Tamandua tetradactyla: one gene and its partner. The protein of the gene in region 1 binds, or shares a complex with, the protein of each later gene. Links are inferred from orthologs where the notes say so. Each region holds a gene or a part of one and is shown on either strand. Other genes may lie near its edges.

Region 1 (11,868 bases):
TTGTAAGGGCACTGAGAGCTTAGGATACAGCCTGGAAGGAAACTGAAAGTGGGGATAATACTGTTAATACCGTCCCTGCAGCTGACACAGGAAACGGGAAATACCTGGAAATCATGACGTAATCATTGAAGAACCTGGATTCCTGTCCTCAAAATTGCTCTAGAATGTAAAATCCCACCCTCTTTCCTTGTTCTAAATGGGATCCGCATTAGACCCAGCATTTTGGAGAAATGACTTAAGAGCAGAGAAAGTATCATTAACTAGACAGATGGGAGAAGTAGGTACCAGAAGAAAATACAGGGTTACCCAGAATGGCAGAAATCTAGGTTTCTCAGAGTGGAAAGAGAGAAGAGACATTCAACAAACAGCAAATTATTTATTGAGTGCCTACTATATGTCAGGCACTGTTCAAGAACCACCCCCCTGCAAAAGGGAAAAAAAAAGAAAAAAAAAAAACCAGGCAGAAAATGCAAATTCTGAGGGAGAGGAAAGGGGCAGCAGACAAGGAAGAAGGCTGAAGAAACTAAGCCTGAGGTGATGGGGTTCTGCCTTATGCCTCTTCTTCGGCCTCTTCACCGAAATCCTCTTCCTCTTCTGCGGTGGCATCCTGGTACTGCTGGTACTCGGAGACGAGGTCGTTCATGTTGCTCTCAGCCTCGGTGAACTCCATCTCGTCCATGCCCTCACCTGTGTACCAGTGGAGGAAGGCCTTTCGGCGGAACATGGCAGTGAACTGCTCCGAGATGCGCTTGAAGAGCTCCTGGATGGCAGTGCTATTGCCAATGAAGGTGACTGCCATCTTGAGGCCACGGGGTGGGATATCGCAGACAGCCGTCTTGACATTGTTGGGGATCCATTCCACAAAGTAGCTGCTATTCTTGTTCTGCACATTGAGCATCTGCTCATCCACCTCCTTCATGGACATCCGCCCGCGGAAGACAGCAGCCACAGTGAGGTACCGGCCATGGCGGGGGTCACAGGCAGCCATCATGTTCTTGGCGTCGAAGACCTGCTGGGTGAGTTCGGGCACAGTGAGAGCCCGGTACTGCTGGCTGCCACGGCTGGTCAGAGGGGCAAAGCCAGGCATGAAAAAGTGGAGACGGGGGAAGGGCACCATATTGACTGCCAGCTTACGGAGGTCAGCATTGAGCTGGCCAGGGAAGCGAAGGCAAGTGGTGACACCGCTCATGGTGGCTGAGACGAGGTGGTTCAGGTCTCCATAGGTTGGTGTGGTCAGCTTGAGGGTGCGGAAGCAGATGTCGTAGAGGGCTTCGTTGTCAATGCAGTAGGTCTCATCTGTGTTCTCTACCAACTGGTGGACCGAGAGGGTGGCATTGTAGGGCTCAACCACTGTGTCAGACACTTTGGGTGAGGGAACCACGCTGAAGGTGTTCATGATACGGTCAGGATACTCTTCACGGATCTTGCTGATGAGCAAGGTGCCCATTCCAGAGCCTGTGCCCCCGCCCAGCGAGTGGGTCAGCTGGAAGCCTTGCAGGCAGTCACAGCTCTCGGCCTCCTTCCTCACCACATCCAGGACCGAATCGACCAGCTCGGCCCCCTCTGTATAGTGGCCCTTAGCCCAGTTGTTGCCTGCCCCAGACTGACCTGGAAAGGAGTTCAGAGGTAAGCTTAATTAAGAAGGTTTGGAAGCTATGTGACCATACATCTACCTTTTATCTTTTACAATAATTCCTTTAGATGTATTTCCTTTCTCCCTCAGCTGTAATGTATCCATCCTCATAATTTACTAGTTAGGGCAGTTACCACCACTACCCTCCTCCTTCAGATTTTATAACTCTCTAAAAACTCTCCACTACAACTACCTCCAAACCTTTTCTATTTTCACACACCTAAATAAATTGAATATGATGGTATCTACTAACAACTCACCAAAAACAAAGTTGTCTGGTCTGAAGATCTGGCCAAAAGGACCTGAGCGAACAGAGTCCATAGTCCCAGGTTCTAGATCCACCAAGATAGCACGAGGAACATACTTGCCACCTATAGGGGAGAAAGTACAGGAATGAGAATTGGCAGGTGGGGAAGATAAATAACATATTAGGGTTAGGAAAGAGCCTGAGACCTAGACTTGTGATTCCAAACCCTGCCACCAGGTGGCAGCAGAACTAAGCTTTGGTTCCAGGTGGGAGACGGGGAAGAAATCAAAATGAAAGGTCTCCAAAGGACGAGGATTCATCCAAAGGGGGTTCCTCGGGAATGGAGACATGAAGCAGGATAATATAGGACCCCAAGCCTTCGGGGCACCTTCTCTCACCTGTGGCTTCATTGTAGTACACGGAGATGCGATCCAGCTGCAGGTCGCTGTCCCCATGGTAGGTGCCGGTAGGGTCGATGCCGTGTTCATCGCTGATGACCTCCCAGAACTGCCGGTTAAGAATAATGAGCCCACAACCGCTCAGATCCCAACTATCACCTTCTTTCCCCTATTTTAATTCCAGTCGCGCCCATGGTAGGTGCTGTACGAGGGCCCGGCATCCCCTCAATCCCCCAGCCACACCCTTCCCCTAGACACCCACAGCCCCGGGGTAAGCTGCAGCTTCTGTGTTTTATTCAGCTCATTCACGGTTTGGGGAAAGTGATGTGGGACTGAGAGGACCCGGAGGTATCAGGCACCCGGGTGGGGGAAGAGAGAGGGAGCAGGCGGACCCGCCTAGGTAAGCCCCGCCCCCGCCGGGCCCCGCCCCTCCACGCAGCAAACAAAGGGCCGCTGGACGCAGAACTGCAGCTGCAGCCCAGGCCCCCAACTCGGCCTTCATGTGACTGCAGCGCACGCGCGGGTCTAGCCGCCGACAATGGGAGGCGTCGCGCGTGGGAGAGGCGGGGCCAAGGGCTTGAATTACGGGCGCGTGGGGCGGCGCCCGGCTGGGGCTCGCGCGCCCCCGCGGGCCAGCAGGACCGCATTGTCCTCGCGCGCCTAGGGCGCCCCGCCCCGCCGGGCCCGCCCTTCTGCTACAACGTAGCAGCGGCACTTCCTCCCGTCCCCTCCCCCGCTACACTGTAACCGCGCGCAAAAAAAAAAAAAAAAAAAAACCCTAGGCCTTGGAATTTTATTCCTTCGCTAAGTTTCTTTTTCTTGCTTTAAAGGAGGGTTGCCCCTCTCCCACTTAGTCTCCTACGGCTATTTTAAGCGGGCATGCTCCCTCCTTTTCTTCCACCCTCTCCCTATCTGTTCACTCCGTTAAAGGATCTCGTTAAGGAAAAATGAAATAAAATTGATCACGTACATTTTATCCTTTCATTCACTTAAAACTACAGGGACCGGAGCCGTGCGGGGGTCCCTTATCTTTTGTTAAGGGGGCCGGGCAGCAGTCCACATGGCGCATTGTACCCCACCCCACCCCCAGTTAGGCTAGACGCCCTCTGCAGCTGCCCGCCCAGCCTCGCCCCTTCCCCCTCGGGCTTCGCCCTAGGAACTCCCGCCAAGGGGGGGGGGGGGCGAGCGCGAGATGCACATGGGGCAGGCTCGCCTCGCTTTGTCTCGGGAGGTTTCCGCATCTCGCTCCCCAGTCCTCGGACCGTTAGGAGATCCTCTAAGTGCAATTTTACAACTCCTCGGTTTTCCCGCCCCCGAAACCCGAAGGGTCCTTTCCGAAAGTGAGCCTGCCAAGAAAAATAATCCCCCATTTTCCAAAGGCAAATTCTAGCCACAAATATGTATAAAACTTCCCCCCCCCCAGCTTAAGGATGGAGAGCACGAATATCCCACAATCATTCTTCATAATTTAAGGCTTTCCTTCTTCCTGCTCAAAAGAAATACAGTTAAAGAGATTTAAAATCCTTACCTTGGCACCGATCTGGTTGCCACACTGACCAGCCTGGATGTGCACGATTTCCCTCATGGTTAAAATTTATTTTAACTTTTTGCTCGCCTCAAAGTGTGTGCGGGGCAAGAGAATGATATGGAATCTTTCCCTCCGCGGGTCGCAAGCTGGCAGGATGGCTCGTGGCCCGGAGGCTGGAGCAGCAAGGTCCGAACGCGGCAGCAGGAAGGCTTTGAGAGGGAGAAAGAAGGAGGGGGGAGGGAGAGGGAGGGAAGGCGGGCAGGGCGGGGCGCGCGTGCGCGGCGGCTGGGAGGCGGGAGAACCGGCCCCGCGCGGCGGTCGGGAGACAAAGCCTCATCCACGCTGGCCCTGATTAGTTGATGGCAGTCATATACCAGCCGTCCATTGGTCTCGACTCGCAGTGGACGAGCGCGCTCCTCTCTGGGAGTTGTAGTCCTCTATTGTTGTCCACGCCGCAAAATGAGGTGACTAAAGGGTGGGTACCGGGTGATTTTTTTTGTGTTTCGTTTTCTTTTGTTCTTTTAATGAAAAATGATGACCTTGTGCAAGATCGCTTTCTTTACTCCTGAGTTTTTTTGCACAGAAAGGGAGTTTTCGAAGATACAGGAATTGGGAAGACTGAGATGCCAGGCGTTGGGAAGTGGGGTGGGCACGCCCAGAAAGCTCCCTGCTGCCTTAGCTCTTGAAAAGATAGGAATGCTTAGTTCAGCGAAAACTGGGGAGAAATGCGGCACCCTGCTCTGCTACCCGACGTCTGGTTCTTTGTTGACCAAACCTGAACTCCAGTAAACCACTGCGCCTCAGGAAGCAGTTGGGGATTGTCCTTCTCTTATTTATTCGCTTGAGAATTTTCGAATGATGTTTCGAAAGAGAAACAGTATTGCAGCAAGGACTTTCCAGGATAGAGATGTAGCTGCTGGAGGGTATGTTCAAAGAATAAGTTGAATGGTTTAGGCAAGTTGATGTCAGAGTACTGTGAAGCCAGAAGTTTCAGTCCAGTAGGGAATCTGGGCCTCATGTGGGCGTTGTAGACATCTTGGTTTTCTTGTCAAGCAAGGAACTATGGAGTTATATGTCTGATAGAAATAGCAGGGTCTTTCCAGCTTGCCTTTCTAGGTACTTTGATGAAGGCAATGTTTTTTCAGTTTGCTGCTTTCATTTGTAGCTAACTTCAAGAGCTACAAATGAAATGGGGAGAATGGGGGGATCGATTGGTAAGGAGAAATCGGATGGGATCCAACAATGCCACTCTGACCAAAAGGGAAAAGAAGTGTAACAAATAAGGTATCAGTGGCTGAGAGAGGTCGAGAGGCTACTCTGGAGGTCACTCTTAAGCTTCAGTTAGACATCGTTACCTATCATAACTTGCCAAACCCTAACCAAAATCATTCTTGCCAATCCTAAGAGTGCCCAGGGAAATATATAAGATTCTACCAAAGTTCCGTGCATTAGGGTTACCTACAACCTCCAGATGGGTCCCTGGACAAGATAAATCCTGAATGCAGAGGGGCCATCCTCTCCAGAACATCAACTGGTTCCATCCCCCATCCCATATTTTCAACAGCCCCCTCCAACGTGAAAAAGTTAGAATGGACATAGCCCAAATACCCCTAGAGAGTGGGAGAAAGCTCAAAGATGATGGTGTAGTTATACAGAGAAGGTAGGGTTTAACAAATGAGTATGATTGCTGAATCATTCATTACATTGATATTTATTTTCATCTCCAAGTGTCTTAGAGCAGCTAGAAGTAAAAACCTAAAATTGTGGAAGTGTGACCCATACCAACCTCTGAAAACTGTTCTACAACTAATTGTTGCCATTTGCTTTGAAATTTATTGCTTTTTTGTATATGTTATTTTTCACAAAAAAAGTTGATTGTGATTATAAAAGCACAGCTATATGATGATATTGTGAATGTGCGCTTTGGATGATTACATGGTATGAGAATATATAATATAAATAATCTTAAAAATTGGATGGGATGATGTCACAGTAGCTTGCCTTTTGTTCCCAAATATCCAGTCATTTGATAGATATTACGTGTTCATCAAACCAGAAGCTAGAGATACAAAAATGATTAAGAACTAGCGTCCTGTCTTCCAGGACCTCAGTTTGATGAGAGTTGGATAAACATAGTAACAATAGTGTGGGAAGCACTATAATAGAGATGTGATTTCAAGGTCGTCATTGTTAATTCACATTGGATTTAATACATTTCTCAAGTCACCTTCTAAATAATGGAATATCAAGTTGTGTAAGACCCTTCCTCATCTAGTCACTTTAGATAGAATATTTTATGTTCTATACCATGATCACAACGAAAGCCATTATTTTGTGGCAGTGGAAAGAGTTTAGAACTTAGAGGACTTGTTTCGAATTTATCTCTACCTTACATTAGCTTTAGGAACCTTGGCAAGTCGTTTAAACCGCAGAGCTTCAATTCCTACGTTTGTTAAAATCTAGTTCTGCCTCTTGTATTATGTGGTCAGAATTAAATGAGAACTAATGGGAAAAATAAATGCATTTCAAAGTGCTGCAATTCTTTTCATGTCAGCTTGAGATACTGAAATGATTTTATTATCCTCCCACTCGTTGAAAGGTGCGGACAGATCTCAGTAATCCTTTTAAGACGGTTAGCCCAGCAGTTCTCTCTGTTCGCCTAGGGATCTGTGCTTTAGGAAAATGACCTCAAAATCTCCGTCAGTGATGTATCCCCAAGAAGAAATGACATGACCTCTGCAGAACAAGACAAGTCAAAAGGAAATGAAATTCCATTGCTATGAGGAGTCCTCAAGCGCCACGCCTACGGCCTGTTCGCACTGCAGCCTGCAGCCACGACTGCAAGCCGCAACCCACTTCTCATGAGTCAGCGGACACCATGTCTGGGAGGACCGAGAAAGGACGCCCTGGCCGCACCAAACGCATTGAGCGATGGCTATCGTATAGCCCTTCTATCCTCCGCAAGCAGCGGGCGCCAAACTCTATGGTCACGGTTTGGAAATCTGCGCGGGAAGTGGGCAGTGAGCGGTGAAGCGGCGGTGGGTTGTCCCTTGGAACTGCCCAATCGAGGTGCGTAGTTGCCTGCGCGCAGAGCAACATCGGATTAGTGTCTCGCAGTGTCCTGCGAGAAGCTGCCCGGGCGGGGCGGGGTGGGGCATGCCGGGGGTGGAGTTTGGGCTGCTTCAGCGCGGGAGGCTCCCCCAATCAGCGTGCAGCCGAGCTGTGAAGACAGCCTCAGGAGCCAATCAGCGAATCGGCTCCTTCCCGGCGTCCGCGCTCGCGCCACCTGGATCGCGGCCGTTACTAGCGGCGCGCGCGACGACTCAAAGTAGGTGAGTTCTGGACGCCCAGTCCGCTGCTCCCCGGGTGCCATCTTGATTCTCCCGGAGGGCGGGAGGGGCGTGCCCTAGGGGCGCCTGGGCGGAGGCGACTCGGAAGTTTGCTTCTGGGATTGTCCTGCCCATCCGCACCTGACGCCCCGCCCCGAGCTTAGGTCCGAAGACGCAGGGAGACGTTGGATCCTGAGGGGACCCATTGGTGTAAGGTTCCAAGATGGTGGCCCTTGGGTTGGAGTCAAGGGTCGTGGGGGACCCGCTTAGTTGTTCACAGGGTCGGAGTTAACACTTTTTCCTACTTGTCACCAGTCAATGGTTTCTCTCTAGGGTGGCATCTTTTTAAGTGGATTCTACCCGTGTTATTTTGAGTTTACATCTCCTTCCATTTGTTCTTTTTTCGATAAGCTCGGCGATGTAACTCTAGGAGGGCAAGGTTAATGGCCCTGCCCACGAATGGGTGTTGAAGGCCCAAATGAAAGTAATAGTTCCAGTGTGATAAGAACTGTTAGGAGAGACACGAGTCCATTGATCCCTGTGGAACACACAGGATCCACCAGGCGTCCTGGAAAGGCTTTGCTGAGGAAATGACATTTAAACGGAATTTTGAAGAATAAGTGGGAGTTGAACAAGGAAACTAGGAGTGAAGGGCAAGGGCAAGCTGGGCTAAAGCAGGCAGGTGTAAGGAGATGCGGGGATAGTATGTTGAGAGATAGGGGAGAAGGCCCATTTGGCTGAACCATAGGCTGTTGGGGCAGGAAGGTTAGTGCATTGCTGGACATGAGGTTCAGCTAATTGAGGGTTTTACTAAAGAGTTTAGGTTTTTGTTTTGTCCTGGGATCATGGAAAGCCTTCAACGGGTATTGACAGAGGCGAGACATTATCTGGGTGATCTTGGACATGTTCTTTAACACATCTGTGTCACAGGTTCTTTTATCAGAAAAATGGGAGCTACCAGCTACCTTAAAGTGTTTTGTACAGGTTAAGTGAATCAGTCAGTGTGAATTAATTAAAACAGTGCTTTGCACAAAGCAAGCCTCTGTATGTCACCAGGTATTGTGATTCTTTGCAGTTTTCTCTGACCACACTATATGGCAAAGTGTAAAACACATGGACCTTGCAGCCAGAAGCACATTTATTCCTGTCCTTTCCATTTGCTGTGTTATCCTGAGCAAATGATTTAATATTTTTAGTCTTAGTTTCCAAAATGCCTTTCTCATATGGCCGTTAATGCCAGACATGTAACACAATGCCTGGGCCATAGTTAATGTTCAGCAAACGTTTGTTCCCTTTAAAATTATGTTTTTCAGGGTGGGCAAAGGTGGCATAGTGGCAGAGTTCTCACCTGCCATGCCAGAGACCCGTGTTGGCTTCCTGGTGCCTGCCCATACAAAAAAAAAGAAAAATTATGTTTTTCAAACTGAATTATGACCCAAGAGTAAATAGTGAAATCAGTGTAGTGGTTTGCAAATTAGCATTTAAAAAACAGAGAATTTAAAAAAAGAATGAAAAGATATCAGTGTATTGTAAATAGTAGGGTTTAGCATTATTTCTCAAAACCGTATTTTTATAAATAAGCACAAAGGTTTAAATATATCTGTACCAGGAGCCATATCATTTTCTACTTTATGTCATCATCAAAAATGTTTGAGAAATACTTCAAAAGACTATCGAGAGAATGAATGAGAGAAAAAGAAGCATCAGTTTCCACAACTATCCAGTTTTACCTCCAGTTATCAATTTCTTCTCTGATGTTGTGTGTGTATGAACTAATGGTGAGGACAATGATAATGTGTTTCTTTCCCAGGTCATGGAAGATACCCAGGTTATTGACTGGGAGGTTGACGAAGAGGAGGAGGAAGAGAGAGCCAGTGAATCCTTGGGTTATAGTTTGGAGCCCTTAGGGCGACTGCATATCTTCGGCAGTGCCCATGGACCAGAAAAAGGTCAGGGGATATTGGGTACTGAAGTGTTTGTATAAGTCGTTTACTTTTTTTGTGAGGAGGTATCTGGAGGGTTGCAGGAGGCTTATATATATTTCAAGGAGATTTGAAAAAAATTTTTTTATCAGAAATGGAAAAGATGCTATTTGAGTTTATTGTTCTAATCTAGTGCCCTAGACTCAGTGGGAGTGATTTTACTTTCGTAGGAGAAGATGGAGAGATTCAAATTAAAATTCAGGGTGGAGGGATATGGCTTATATATATATATATATATATACGCTGTACAGTGGGGGTCACATTTCATTCTTTTCCATTGAATATCCCAGTATCACAGCACTATTTTTGTTTGCTGTTTTTTTTTGTTTGTTTAAGTACATCGGCCAGAAATCAAACCTGGGTCTCCTGCATGGGAGGCAGAGGATTCTACCACTGAACTAACATGCACTCCCTTGGAGAGAGTATTGAATATGAATAATACATTGTGTATACTCTTCAGTGCCTAGATGTTCTAGAGCCTTTTGTTTTTCTAATGCAAGTGGGGGCCTTGAGTGAGTAGAGAAAAACGTAACAGCAACATTTTCCTAAGAAAAGACTCTGGCCTTGGAACCTATCTTCCTTTCTAATTCTTAGATTTCCCACTATATCTTGGGAAGAATGTGGTAGGCCGAAAGCCTGACTGCTCTGTGGCCCTGCCCTTTCCGTCCATCTCCAAACAACATGCAGTAATTGAAATCTTGGCTTTGGACAAGGCACCTCTCCTCCGTGATTGTGGGAGCCTCAATGGTACTCAAATCCTCAGGCCTCCTAAGGTTCTGAGCCCTGGGGTCAGTCATCGTCTGAGGGACCAGGAGCTGATTCTCTTTGCTGACCTGCCTTGCCAGTACCATCGCCTGGATGTCCCCCTGCCTTTTGTCTCCCGAGGTACCCTAACTGTTGAGGAGACACCCAGGGTACAGGCAGGAACTCAACCCCAGGGCCTTCTGTTGGCTGAGGACTCAGAGGAAGAAGTAGGTAAGTTTGTGGTGTTGGGAGGCTCGGTGAACAGAGGCAGATGGGGTATGTAAAATTGTCAGCTTGCTCCTTTCTATTCTTGACAGATTTTTCTGAAAGGTGTATAGTGAAAGAATCAAAGTCCACATCTTCTCCTTTGGCAACGGTAGTGCCGGAAAGGTGAGTGCCAAAGGGCCAGACACCTGTGTCTTCAAAAGGAGAAGGAACCAGGGACTGGAGAATTGAATCTCTAATCATGAGAGTGGGCAGGGGAACCATATGTATTCACTCAGCTTAATTTTTATTGATCACCTCTGGTGCCAGATGGAGTACTAATTGCTGGAGACAGAGAAAAAAATACTACCTCAGGTCTGTCATCAAGGAGCTTATGGTTGAATGGAGTATCCCTTCCTGGGAAATAGAGTCTACCAAATCTTTCTCTTCTTCTCTTCGTAGTGATGAAGAGAGTGCTTCCCCTGCCCAGGGTAGCGGTGGGCCACCTTTTGCCTTCAACTTGGAAAGTGACACAGATGAAGAAGGTGAGCAGCCAGCATCAGGGGAGGTCTCTTCAACTTCCAGAAGAAGTGCAACTGCAGAAGCTGATGGAGTTGCAGTTGAACTCCACCTCAAAAAGAATCAGCCTTCAGCAAAGGAGGTGGACAATGAAAGAAAAGTAGAGAGTGATACAGGGAAATCAGATATGGAGGAGGACAGTGACACAGATGTGGATGATGACAGTAAGCTTACAGAAAAGCCAGCTGATGTCCACTTGGAAAGGGGCCAGTCTTCTCCCTTCATTGACAGTGATACAGATGTGGAAGAAGAGGGGATTCCTGCAACCCTAGCTGTGGTTCCTGTGAAGAAGAGGCAAATCTTCCATGGAGTTAGCACAAAGAGTCCTGGGGTGCATCTGCAAGAGAGCCAGGCTGGTAGTGATGCAGATGTGGAGAAGGGTGAGGCCCCACCACCTTTGGAGAGAAGCCAACCCTCCATAGTGCTCAACAGCGACACAGATGATGAGGACGAAATCTCAGCAGCACTTGCTTTGTCACTTCTCAAAGAGAGCCGAACTATTACAGGAAACAAAGATGTTGATGTCGAAGAGGACAGGGCCCAATCTATGGTCCTTCCAGAACAAAGCCTAACCTCTGCTGGGAGAGACAGTGACATAGATATGGAAGAGGAAGAGCTCCAAGTGGAAAAGAGACAGTCTCTCCCCAAGTGCCACACAAACAAGGATGGAGCTCTTGTTTTAGCACTTTCAGAAAAAAGCCAGCCTCTCCCTGGGGATAGTGATGTGAATGTTGTAGAAGATAAGGACTTATTTGGGACCCACTTGGAGAGAAGCCAAACTTCCACCATGGTGAACATTAACACTGAAGTGGAGGAGGAAGTCCCGTCAGGGCCAGCTTTTACACATCTGGAGAAGCATAAGGTTCCTGAGGAGAGAACAAATAAAACAGATAAGGAAGCAGAGGGGAATCCAGCAAAGGTGCCTGTGGTACATCTAGAGGAAGCCCAGCTTCCTCCAGACTGTGAAATGGATGCAGAGGAGGGCATGTCCTTAACAACCTCAGCAATGGCAGATGTAAGAAAGAGCCAGCTTCCGGCAGAAAGGGATGCTGGGACAGAGTGGGCTGCAGCTGTTCTCAAGCGGGAGAGAGCACTTGAGGCGGGCGCCCAGGGTGGGTCACCTGTGACACAAGTGGAACAGGACCTTCTCCCTGTCTCAAGGGAGAACTTAACACATTTGGTGGTGGGAACAGGCACTCCCGGGGAACCCACCCAGCCACATAG
Region 2 (11,774 bases), on another chromosome or scaffold:
ACTATTTCTTATTTGAATAAACCAGGCTATTTGTCCTTAACACAAGAAATGTTTTATTTATTCTGTTTACTGTCTGTGTATTGTTGTTAGAATGTAAGCACTATGAAGGCAGAGGTTTTAGTTTGTGTGATATTAGCACTTAGCCTAGTGCCTGATACCTAAAAGGATCTAATAAATACAAAATCAATATCTGGCACTATGCCAAAAGCCCACTGTCCACAGGATAGCAAAAAACAGCTAATTGCAGTCCAAACTAGGCCTCTCAGTTTTCTAAACATAGTACTCTGGGCAGATACTAACAAGATACCCACAGGTGGTACCCACAGTGAAATCTACTTGCTATTCCTGCTTTAGCCTTCTGCAAAAAGAAAAGTGTACTTCTATCTTCAAATATGTCAATGCACCTTGATTTTGATATTTAGCATGATGAGTTACTAACTGTATTTCTTGTCAAATACGTTTAAACACTTCTTTGCTTATTTTAGAAAGTTTAGAGGAAAAGCAAACTGAAGCCAAAAAAAAATAGGAAAAGGAATTACAGAAGATGTTGGGAAACTGAGAGTACTACATATTTTTAGAATTAGCAACTTCCCAAGATATTTCTTTGTAAAATAAAAATTAGACATAAATTACTGGAAAAGGAAGTAAATTACATGAGTATTGAAAAAAAAACCTAATTTTTTAAACCACACAAATGTTTAAGATCAACTGGGAGATGATGATAGATGTTAGGATTCTCCCCATTTATAGACACCAGTAACATATTTTTCTGTAAATGGTATTTTGAGATGTATTACAGGGGTGACACAAGGAGTAGTATGTAGAACTGTTCTCTGAAATGGAGTTTATTTGGCAAAAAATAATCTAAAACATTTTGTAAAATAGCCTAAAAAGTAGGTCTTTTTAGAATTATGTATAATTCATTTTTCTTAAGTAATTTGATGAAGCTCTTTTCTTCAAGTATATTTCTGAAAGGCAGCTATGCTAATTGGAAGACTCCAATGAGATGTTCATATGTTTACATTAAAATGAGAAATTCCCTGACATTTAATTCAAGAAATTTTTTGCTTTCCCTTTATTATTTGTAAATTCACTCAGCAATAACAGCAAAAAATTATTTAGGACCCAATAGGTATAGAATGTTAGGCAATTATTTTCAGCCTATAGAAGGAAAAAATATTCGAATAAGTTATCTATTTGAAACAATATGAAGAAAAGATAGTGGCAGAACTTGAAATCCTATCCAAATCTTTTAGTAGTCAATATTTGTCTTGAGGCTCCCACACATTAGTCCAGGACTAGTTTAAGGTACAGGTCAACTTTAAACAGAAAACAACAACTCCCATCATCACTATCAAAAATGTAAAAAAAAAAAGACTTCAAAACCCAAATCCCTTGAAAGAATGACTTCTATTTACTTCTCTGTGATATATTTAGAGGGGAAAAGATGGATAGAAATCTATAAACAGAAAGTGCTAAGAGGAAGTCACTGTTTATAGACTTAAGCAAAAATTCTATCCCTTAATATATAAAATGCTGTTAAGAATCTTTAATCTTGTACTCTTTAAAAACATCATCAGATATTCATCACTGTTGATCTTCTTCCTTCTTTCTTCTGGCCCTTATTTATTCTCTTTGATTAAAAAACATACATGTAACTTTTGCAATAACAATTTTTCCAAAGAAACTTCTAGAACAATCTCAGTGCCATCATATATTTGTCATTGTGAAATTTTAAAGTATTATATAAATTTAAATATATATCTAATGAAATAATCCATATAAACTTTTCTAACTTAATACTCGATTGATGTGCCATCCTAAGATGTATGTATGTGAATATGTTTGAAAGATAGTTTTCAATTCTAAATTTTTTGGCTTAAAATCCTTATTAGCAACAGAAACTTCTGTCTGAAGTTTGTTCACAAAAACAGAACTACTCTAGTTCTTATCACCTGACTTGCTAGACATCCATAGTAAAGTGTGTCCTGAAATGACAAACTCTTAATATACAAATGACAGCCTGAAAGGAAACTGAAACAAGTCTAATGGAAACATACTTAGTCTTTCCCTTGAAACCTGCCTCAGTAGCGTTCACAAGACTAGACCCAGTTCCCCACCCAGTATTCTCAGTCACTTCTTTTAAGAGGTCACAAAGAAATTAGGGAACCTGTAATGCCAGACTCTGCCAGTCAGCACTAACTCCTGACTTTGGACTCTAATGACCGAACAAAAAAGACAAGAGTGTCGGTAGCTTCCTTAAAATACAAATACTCCTGGTAAATCTGACTTATAAACGGTAAAGAAAAATTTCAACATAATCAACTGTATGGTCACATAGCTGACAAAGTTAAAGAGAGCATAGATCACCACCTCCTCCAAACTTCTGCTGCTATGGCACAATTTCCAGGTCACTTTTTCAAATCAATAAATACCATTACTATTTATTACAGTACCTCTACCTTTATAATAAAAACAGAGGTGACAGTTTGCTGTAAATTTACTAGATGAGGCATTTTAATCACTTCACTACACGCAACTTTCCACATACATTAACTCTCCTACTTCCCAACTGTTTTAAACTCATGATCTTTTTTAACATACTACAGAAAGGGAACAAGTTAGAAGCTTGGGGAAAAATACTAAAATAGCAAATGCCTCCCTCTCATTTTCTGATGCAACCACCAGAATCTAAAACCTGGAGCAACTATGCAATACAAAATTAAATTCAAGGAGAATTTAGGACAAATGAAAGTACTGTTACTACAGTTCTGATCATTAGTCACCTCATAAAATAACTAGTAGAAATGATGCTTGATTTGTAGTTTTAATACTTTCCTGTTTTGTTCAGCTTCTAAAACAAATAAATTTGCCCTAGGACTTCAGTATTTTACTCCAGAAAAGCTGTTGGTGTGAGTAAAAAGCATAAGGTATTCATATGCTGTATGTGTACAATAAGAACAATGTTTTGAAGGATGTAAATCTGATTACTCTGAGAAAACATTTTCTCTGTAAGCTACAAGCAAATCATATCGTGAACTGAAACCGAACTGAAACAACTGAACCTTCGCAATTCAAAAACTTAATTTCACAATACTGTGGAAACTGAACAATAATAACAAAACAACGAACATGTCTCCTCAATTATAAAAGTAATACATATTCAATGCAGAAAAAGACAATGCCAATGCTGAAACAAAAGATCATCTGCTATGAAAAGAAAACAAAACAGCATTTTGCAGAGTAAGGTAAACAGCTTTTGAACCAAAAGAAATAGATGGCTTTTTCATATACTTAAAACTTCAGTCTTTAGCACAACAGCACCTTACCCATAAAGAGTTTAATATCATCTGTCGGCATACTTTTTGATTACTAAACTATGGGAAGGTTGTTGGTGCTTTAAATGTTAAAATCAAGGCATTTCCTTCTGTGAAGTGATTAAAACCTGTTAAGTGTACATTTAAAAATCTTGCCTACTGCATCACCGCTCTCATGCCTGGTAAGAGTCCCGCACGTATTAAAATAAAGGTAGATGGTAAGGTGAGTTTAAGATTTTCCAACTCGGAGTATTTTTCAAGTCCTTTGAGGCTTTAAGATTCAAGACACTATGTTAGGACAATTACTGAATGAACTACCTAACAATTACCCAGGCTTCTTTTAGACTTGAGTTAACCTGTAAGTAAAATGAGCATCTTTAACTTCTCCACGGGGCATTCGAGAACGAGTTATTACTCATAAATGTTTTCAGATCCTAAGACATCGGGCGCGGTAGATCAAGCGTATTCATCAATTAAAGAGCTCTTTCGAACCTCAGTTTACCCACTTACGGAAATGGGCTTATTAACTCGCTTCGCAGGGGCCCCAGAGGTGTAATTAATTAGTGTTTCAAAAATGCTCTGCGATCCAAAGATGAAAGGAGATGCGACAGACGCGCAGAGATGATGGCAGTCATCATAACAATAAAAAGAATGACTAACTTGGAAGCTGTGTTATGTAAGGGAGGAGAAAGAAGTTATCAGATTCGCACAAACAAAAGAAAAACCCATCGCCCCCTTTGTTTCTCTTTCATTTCTCTTTTCCTCCCAGGCGCCCGCAGAGCTCCCCTCCCGCAGCAGGCGAGCGCGGCTGGGGGCTCAGGCACCGGAGTTGGCCGCCGCGCGCCCCGCGCCCAGGCGGTGGGGGAGGGCGCGACGGGCCCGCTCCTGACAAAGGCGCTTCCTCCGGCGAGAGCGCGGGATGAAGGCGCCGCAAACTCCGTTCCGCCCGCCTCCCGGTGCAAGGGCGCGCTGCGGGCGGGGAGAGCCGGCCGGCCGCCGGGAAAGCTAAGGAGGAAGTTGCACGCGCCCTCCCCAAACCCCTCCCCAGCCCCGGAGCCCCGCCGCGAAGCCTCCGGCGGCGCCCCGTGGCGGCCGCAGCCACACTCACCGGACAATTGTTGGTGGCCGAAACCCCAGCACGGCGCCGAGACCCGGATCGAGGGGGTGAAGTGTGGTGTGTGTGTGTATGTGTGTGTGTACAGCGCGGCGTGCCTCCACCGCCGCCTTCCTAGCAGCCCGCCGAGCTGGGCGAGGGGAAGTTGACCAACGCACCGAGTGCTGAGGAGCGGCGGGCGGAGGGAGAAGCGCGGAGCGTGCTTTGTGGCGCGCACTCGGAGGGCTCGAGACAAATCCGATCGCGCGGCAGGGATGGTGCTGACGGTGGAGGCGGCGGCGGCGGCGGCGCCCCCCGACGGTCCCCTCCGCCTCACACCGCCTCTGGGTCACTGACACACACTCGGAGGGAGGGGAGGGGACTAGGGGGTAGGCGGTGCCGGAGGGAGGGGACAGGGCAGGGCCACAATGGGAGGCGGCGACGCGGCGCCAAAATGCCTCTTGGGAGTTGTAGTTCTCTGACGGAAGAAAAAAATGAATACGTTGTTGTTGCCGACCCTTCCGGGCTCGCTGGGTACTGCGCATGCTCGGGGGAAGAGTCTCGGGGGGGCGGGGGGGTGCCTTGGTTACCATGGTCACCGACACACTGACGGAGTGAGCAGTTCAGTGCTGCTGTTGACTGAACAAGGCCCGTCTTGTATTAAGGTACTGTTGGGGATCCCGCCCTTAGGTAGTCCATCTCACTTCGCCCCACCCCCAACTCCTAGCCTCACCACTCTGAAGTGTCCAGTGAAATCTAACTTCCTCCTGATTGTTTCGGTGTTTTTGAAGCCCATATGCCCTTTCGGGGCTCCCTCAAGCAAATCCTCACTGACTCAAATTTAAATTTCTTTCCTTAAGATCTGTAGAAATGTAGTTGCTTCCTGTAATTTAACATTAGGTTTTAAAACTTTAAGACACATCACCACTATCAGAATCCCATAATTAATTTCTTCAATTAGGCATATCTAACTTTAAGGATAGCAATGTAAAGTCCAGGGTTAAGATCACTATATTTTTCCTTGGTCAGTGTAAAAAATCCGAATTCGTTCGTTTTGGCTTACAATTAAAAAAAATACAAATCTTGTAAGGAACTGGTAAGTTCAAAAGTTAGGTGGGGAGTTGAAAATATGCTCCCTTATTTATATTGATAAACTTTTATTTGGCAAGAACAGCCGTCTGAACTAAGTCATGAGTATGTTGCTGGACTGGTCAGCTAAGTCTACACCCATTCTGGGCACCCAGGTATGAATAGGTGATAGAGTTCTGTGGTGAAAGACAGGACACATTACTGAATCTCCAGAGGACTAAGGACAACCTGTCCCTAGCTCTTCTGTTTTCTTTCTCTGCCAATGTAAAGCCCCACCTCTGGAAGGAAAAGAGCAATACTTAGAAACCAGAAACACATTTAGATAGGGAAAGTCAAGATTTTCAAATAAAGTCTTAAGATCAGAAGTATTTATGTCTGCAGATCATCTAATTATTCATTCATTAAAAAAACATTTCTTGAGCATCTATTATATCCTAAGCACTTTGAGGCCCCAGCAGTAGCCACATAAAAACATAAAAGAAACATTCCTTGGTTTCAAGGTATACACAGACTCAGTGTGACAAGTACTATAATAGGCAAATGCACCAAGGGCTTTGTATACAAAACTACCCCAGACTGGACCAAGGTCAGGAGATGCTTCAAAGAACGTTTGCGCTTGAGGATGACCAGGAGTTAATGTGTTTGTGTATTTTGGTAGGGGAGGAGGGAGAGAGAAATGGGTGAGAGCATTCTAATCTGGGGGAACAGGAAGGGCCATGCCCCAAAGTCATGAGAACAAAGTGTATTTTGTTTCAGCTAATAGTTCAGCATTTCTGGTGGTAGAATGGTGGGAGATGGGGAGAATAGCAGGAGGAGACACTGAAAAGGTTTGGGAGAGTGCAGATCAGGAAGAAATCTTGTACAGTATGCTAAAGAACATGAACTTTTTTCTGGAAGCAATGGAGAGCCACACCTGGGTTAAAAGCAGATGGAATTTGATAATAGATGCATTTTAGAAAGGTCACCCTATGGAGTGTGGCCTGACTGGGGCTTGTTATAATACTACAGAAAGAAAAAGCAGAGAGATACTGAACTAAGCACTGGCAGTGGCAGGAGACAGAATGGTGGGCAATCACATATTATTAGGAATTGGATTTAATAGAACCTAGTAAGTAATTGCCTGTGTTTTGGGGGTGGAGAGTGGAGGACAAATTGTCAGTTATGATGCTTTTGGTTGTATACAGCAGAAAATCCACTCTAACTAGCTTGGCCAATAAAGATTTGTTGACCCATCTAGCTAGAAAGTCCAGTGAAAAGAGAGCCTACAGGGCTGGTTGACTCAACAGCTCAGTGATGTCATTAAGGTCATATTTCTTTCTTGTCTCATTGCTTTTCCTTCAGTAGTATTAGCTCTGTGGTGAAATGATCATTGCCAACAACTCCTGTGCTAAAAGTTTCCTCATGTGGGTTTAAGAAGAGACCAGAAGAGAAAATCACTTCTGGAAGCTATTTTGGAAAAAAAGAGGAAACTCCTTTCTCAGAAGCCTCAAGAATTGAGTTTCATGTCCATATGTGAACTTAAAAAGGTGGTCAGGGGATGGTATTAGGCTTAACGTTTTAGGACTAAGATATATGTCCTGCCCTTAGTGCCAAAAGAGCCAACTTCCCCAAAAGCACATGGGCTGTGATGAGTAGGTATGGGTAGCCCAATGAAAACTGAGAGATGACCCAGACAAAGAAGAATAGATGCTGAGAAGGGGATCAAAATATCTGCAACACAAGGACTCAAGGATGGCTCCCAGATTTCTGGTTTCTGTGATTATGAGCTAGTAGTGCCATATGCTGAGTTAGAGAATACAGGAGAAGAAACAGGGTTTGAGAAGAAATTGGATGAGTTCACTTTTGGCATGTTGAGCTTCAGATGACTCTGAGATACCTAGGTGGAGAAGTAGAGTGGGCAATTATATATATATATATATTCTAAGGCTCTAGGAAGAGAAGAGATCAAGACAGAACATAGAATTGGAATATACCAACGTGTAGATAATAGTTGAAATTATGGGAATGGGTGGGAAAGAGTACACTTAGCAGAAAAGGAGGACTCAATAGTAGTATTCTGGGTAATACCAGCAATTAAGGGATGGGCAGAAAGATCATGGAAATGACTACACATAGCAAGAGAATTAGGAGCATGACTCTCATTCAGCTAGCATGCATCAGTAAGGCCATACTCATTGAAAAATTGCCAGATACTTCCATATGAAATCATTGTTCACTAATGTAGGCTGCCCCAAGCCCCTCTGAATATTTTCTTGCTTCCCTGGTTGCCACAGCCCCTGCCCTGGAACGCTCCCTCCATGTCTAGTAGTTCTGGCCTCACTGAGAATTTTTCAGAGGAGTGGTGCAGACAGAAGGCAGACTCATATTTGTGCTAAAGCATAGCTTGTTAGCTATTCAAACATATATGATTTTAACTAGACTTTTAGCCATGAGAGAGTAACAGGATTTGGAGTTATCAATCCACCATTAACAATCAGAAAAATGGACAAAATATAGGAAATGACTTTTCAGTTAGGCAACAGGTGGTCAGGACTATGATACCTGATAAAAGGGAAACAATTGAGATGAAACCAGACATCATCCAGGCATTCTTTCAGGAGCAATTTCCAGACTACCAGCAGAGAAGGAAAACTTGAACCCCAAAATCTTGCTGGGTTGAATAGATAGTGGAGTTAAAAGGAGGTCAGCGTTCTAGAGAGAAGTGAGCTATGTGGAGAGTTAAAGAAATCTGCCTAGAGGTTCCCTTTAGTGTTTGGCTAGACAAAAATAACTTCCAAGGAAAGAACAATAAAAGGGAAGCCCAAATGGAGCTGGAAATCCAGCTAGAGTGAACAGACCTCATTGAATATATGGGGCATTCAGAAGTGAATGAAGTGAGGCAAAATTAACTCCCAAATAAAGGCTTTTTCTAGACACATCATAAAGGAGCTTAAAAACAAGTCTCGAATAGATCAAATTAATCCAGAAGTATTTCCTACCAGGAAAAATACAGCACTCTTTAAAGGAGTGCAACAAAATCAAGCACTCAACAAGACCGAATTTCTAATGCCTTGCATCTAATAAAAAAAAATCGTTAGACATAGATAGAAGCAGGAAAATGTGATCCACAAACAGGAGAAAAGTAAATCAACAAAAACAGAGCCAGGAAAGACAGGCATGATAGAGTTAGCAGCCAACAACATTAGTATAGTTATAAATATGTTCCAATGCTGAAGGTGCACATGAACTCCTAAGCATAGAAGAACTAAATATTGGAAGAAAAAAAAAAAGGAATTTCTGGAGATTAAAATTAAAACGAAACGAAAACTTCATTGGATAGGATTAACAGAAGACTAAACACACCTAAGAAAAAAAATCAGTAAACTTAAAATAAAATAAAATAAAATTTATTTTATCAGCAATAAAATCTAACTGAAATAAACCACACATACACGCAGAAAAGAACAGCGTTTCAGTGATCTATGGGGTATCAAGTGGCCTGTTTTATTTGTAATTGGAATTCCAGATGAGAAAAGGATGGGGGGGGGCGGTAACATTATTTGAAGTTATATGGCTGAAAATATTTTCAAGCTTGATAAAAATTATAAACCCACGGATTCAAGAAGGTCAAGAAACTCATAAAAGGGTAAATACAACAACACTCGCACAAACCATTGCAAAAGATATCATCACATTGTTGAAAACCAATGGTAAGAAGAAACTATTAAAAGCAGCCAGAGGAAAAGAGGCACGTGATGTTCAGAAGAACAAGGACTAAAATTCAGTAGCCCTGTCATGAGAAACTACGCAGGTCAGAAGACAACGAAAAGGCATTTTTAAAGTGCTGAAATTAAAAAAAAAAAAAAAAAAAAAAAAAAGTCTGTCATGTAGAATTCTATAGCCAGAGAAAATACCTTTCAAAAGTAAAGGCTAAGGGGCAGGCCATGGTGGCTCAGCAGGCAAGAATGCTTGCCTGCCATGCCAGAGGACCTGGGTTCGATTCCAGGTGCCTGTCCACGTAAAAAAAGTAAAGGCTAAGGAATGTAAAATCTGAGAAATGTCTCCAACAGAACTGCACTACAAGAAATATTATTATCAGCATAAGAGAAGCGGCACCACATGAAAACTTGGATTTATACTTGAGAACAAAGAAAGCCAGAAATGGTAAATATGTGAGTAAATGAAAACTGTTTCCCCCCTTCATTTCAGTTTTTAAAAAACTATAATTGACTATTTAAAGAAAAAACAGTAACACTGAATCATGGGGTCCATAACATATGTAGAAGTAAAATGATTGATAGAGTAGAGGATGGAAGGGGGAAATGAAAGTATATTAGAAAGATCTTACATTATGAAGTATTATATGAAGTATTATAATATTATTTGCTAAGTTAAAATCCATAAGAGTCTGCAAACTGCCACTCAAAATAAGCAGGTATTGATGGTAAGTCAATAGTGGAGATAAAATGAAATCCTAAAAATTGGCTTGACTTGAGTAGCAGAAACATAAGAAAACTAGTTCCCTAATGATCATGGAGCTGACATGACAGCCCTGGACCTTCCACCTCATGACGTCTTTTCTTGAGAGAGAAACAAACTTCTATCTTGTTTAAAGTTATCATCATTTTACATTTTGTGTTATGTGCTGCTGAACCTAATCAGAATAGCCACCACACTATCATAATCTCATGAAAGAGACTATATTTCTCAGAATCAGGTAGACCCACGTATTGTCCAGAATTTCCCCATATTGCCAGCAACTTCAACATAACTTGGGGGTTCATATATTTGTAGCTAAAATTCCAAGGTCAGCATCATTTACTATTAGTTCAATCAGTTTTTCTTGCAGGAGAAGATACATGTAAAGTGCTTAGCACAGTCCTTGACATACAGAAAATGCTAAGTCTATATATAAGTATATATATACAGAGAGAACTTTGAAACTGAGCTACAATAATAGGAAAGATGCACCACAATTTAGACATATGTTGAACTTTGTACTCCAAAGTCACGTGGAAAAAATAGCATTCATTTATGTGTCAAAATCTGTGAATAACTTTTTGAAATTGTGATTTTTATCTCCATCATACAGTTCTGAATAATTCTTCAAAATCTGCAATTCTTGGATTCGGGGCAGTTTAGTCATAGAAAATGAATGTGCTCCAATTAATCATCTGCTCAGTCTACATATCTCTTTTAATACCTACATTTCCTTGACCAACCAAAGCAGTTATCCTTTTGTTGCTTATCTGCAGTTTCAAATTTGATATAATCTAGTCATTTCATAAGAAAATGAATCCTGGGGTACTAATAAATGTTTTGAATCTCTTAAATTCTAAAAAGTTTTGGGTTTGGGGAAGCATCTTAGTAAATTTCAACATGTCCTCCATCATCTGACTAGAAAAAAAATCATTAAAAGCTCTCTTTCTACTCTCTGCCCCAAAATACATGAGAACAGTATTTGGGATATAATCAAGGGGAAAATCCCAAAATTGATACCTTTCTCTAAAACATGCAAAAAATCTAATTTACTTGTAAATGATGCAGAAGAAATTTGACACCCCAATCATTTCCTATGATTTGAAGAAACCATTGAAAACTTGTTTTTCTCCTTTCATTACAAATATTTCATCTGTGGCAAATGGACATAGCTTTTCACGTTTAGACCAAATTTCTCATATTTTAAAACAGCAAATAATTCTATTTGTTTGTGAGCTCTAAAAGTATTTTTGTTTTCAATAAAAATTTCAAGCAGATTTCCCTTTGGGAATCTGAAGGCCATATCTGACCTCTGGATTGTATATTGGACTCTTCTGCTGAGCTTCTCAGATTTGAGAATAATAAAATGTGCATGTAGTACGTTCCGATAAATAGGTTATCTGTCAGAATTCCTGGCTTTCAACATTCCTCCCCAAATAAATTATTCTCCCCTAATGTCCTTAAAGTTTCCAAATAGCTCACAGTCAACATGGAACATGTTCCTATTTTAAAGCTGTGAATGGCAAATGATTTGAAGTCCTGGGCTTTCACTCAAAAGATTTGTAAGACCCAAATGCCAGCTCTGACATTCTGGATATATTTGGAAAATGTCAAAAACAAGCTAGTTAAGATTTTAATGTGTTGAAGGAGTATGCTGGTACACCAAAGAATGCAGCCTATATATTCTCACTATTAGTGCAGCCAACATGTACACAAGCAGTTATTTTGGAACTTAAAAAAATACTGCTTAATGAAAGCAGTGGAAAACTCATTAGGAGAAGACCTTAGCTTGTGTTTCCATTTCTAAAATTGATTAA

The links.
Region 2: the proteins of MDC1 (region 1) and PELI1 are in contact, whole or in part, in a crystal structure (PDB 9IF9), measured with the Homo sapiens proteins. The link is inferred for Tamandua tetradactyla from reciprocal best matches to the Homo sapiens genes MDC1 and PELI1. Residues at the interface, in NP_055456.2 of Homo sapiens: Glu761, Asp762, Ser763, Glu764, Thr765, Gln766, Pro767, Phe768, Asp769; in NP_065702.2 of Homo sapiens: Arg104, Ser105, Thr106, Glu107, Thr115, Asp116, Val130, Gln131, Ser132, Thr133, Ile134, Ser135, Arg136, Phe137, Thr185, Asn186, Thr221, Arg222, Ser223, Ala224, Cys247.

Annotation. Positions count from the first base shown.
Region 1 is NC_135331.1:85,598,678-85,610,545, reverse strand, and holds the start of MDC1 (mediator of DNA damage checkpoint protein 1), read left to right. Parts: upstream 1-7,016; 5' UTR 7,017-7,138; intron 7,139-7,148; exon of another isoform or gene 7,149-7,345; intron 7,346-7,467; exon of another isoform or gene 7,468-8,191; intron 8,192-8,945; 5' UTR 8,946-8,948; coding exon 8,949-9,084; intron 9,085-9,711; coding exon 9,712-10,092; intron 10,093-10,154; coding exon 10,155-10,251; intron 10,252-10,527; coding exon 10,528-11,868. Other genes in the region: TUBB (tubulin beta chain), read right to left, coding at 551-1,608, 1,894-2,004, 2,279-2,387, 3,807-3,863. UniProt on the Homo sapiens protein: Histone reader protein required for checkpoint-mediated cell cycle arrest in response to DNA damage within both the S phase and G2/M phases of the cell cycle.
Region 2 is NC_135343.1:37,213,012-37,224,785, forward strand, and holds the start of PELI1 (E3 ubiquitin-protein ligase pellino homolog 1), read right to left. Parts: upstream 4,840-11,774; 5' UTR 4,590-4,839; exon of another isoform or gene 4,426-4,589; intron 1-4,425. UniProt on the Homo sapiens protein: E3 ubiquitin ligase catalyzing the covalent attachment of ubiquitin moieties onto substrate proteins. Involved in the TLR and IL-1 signaling pathways via interaction with the complex containing IRAK kinases and TRAF6.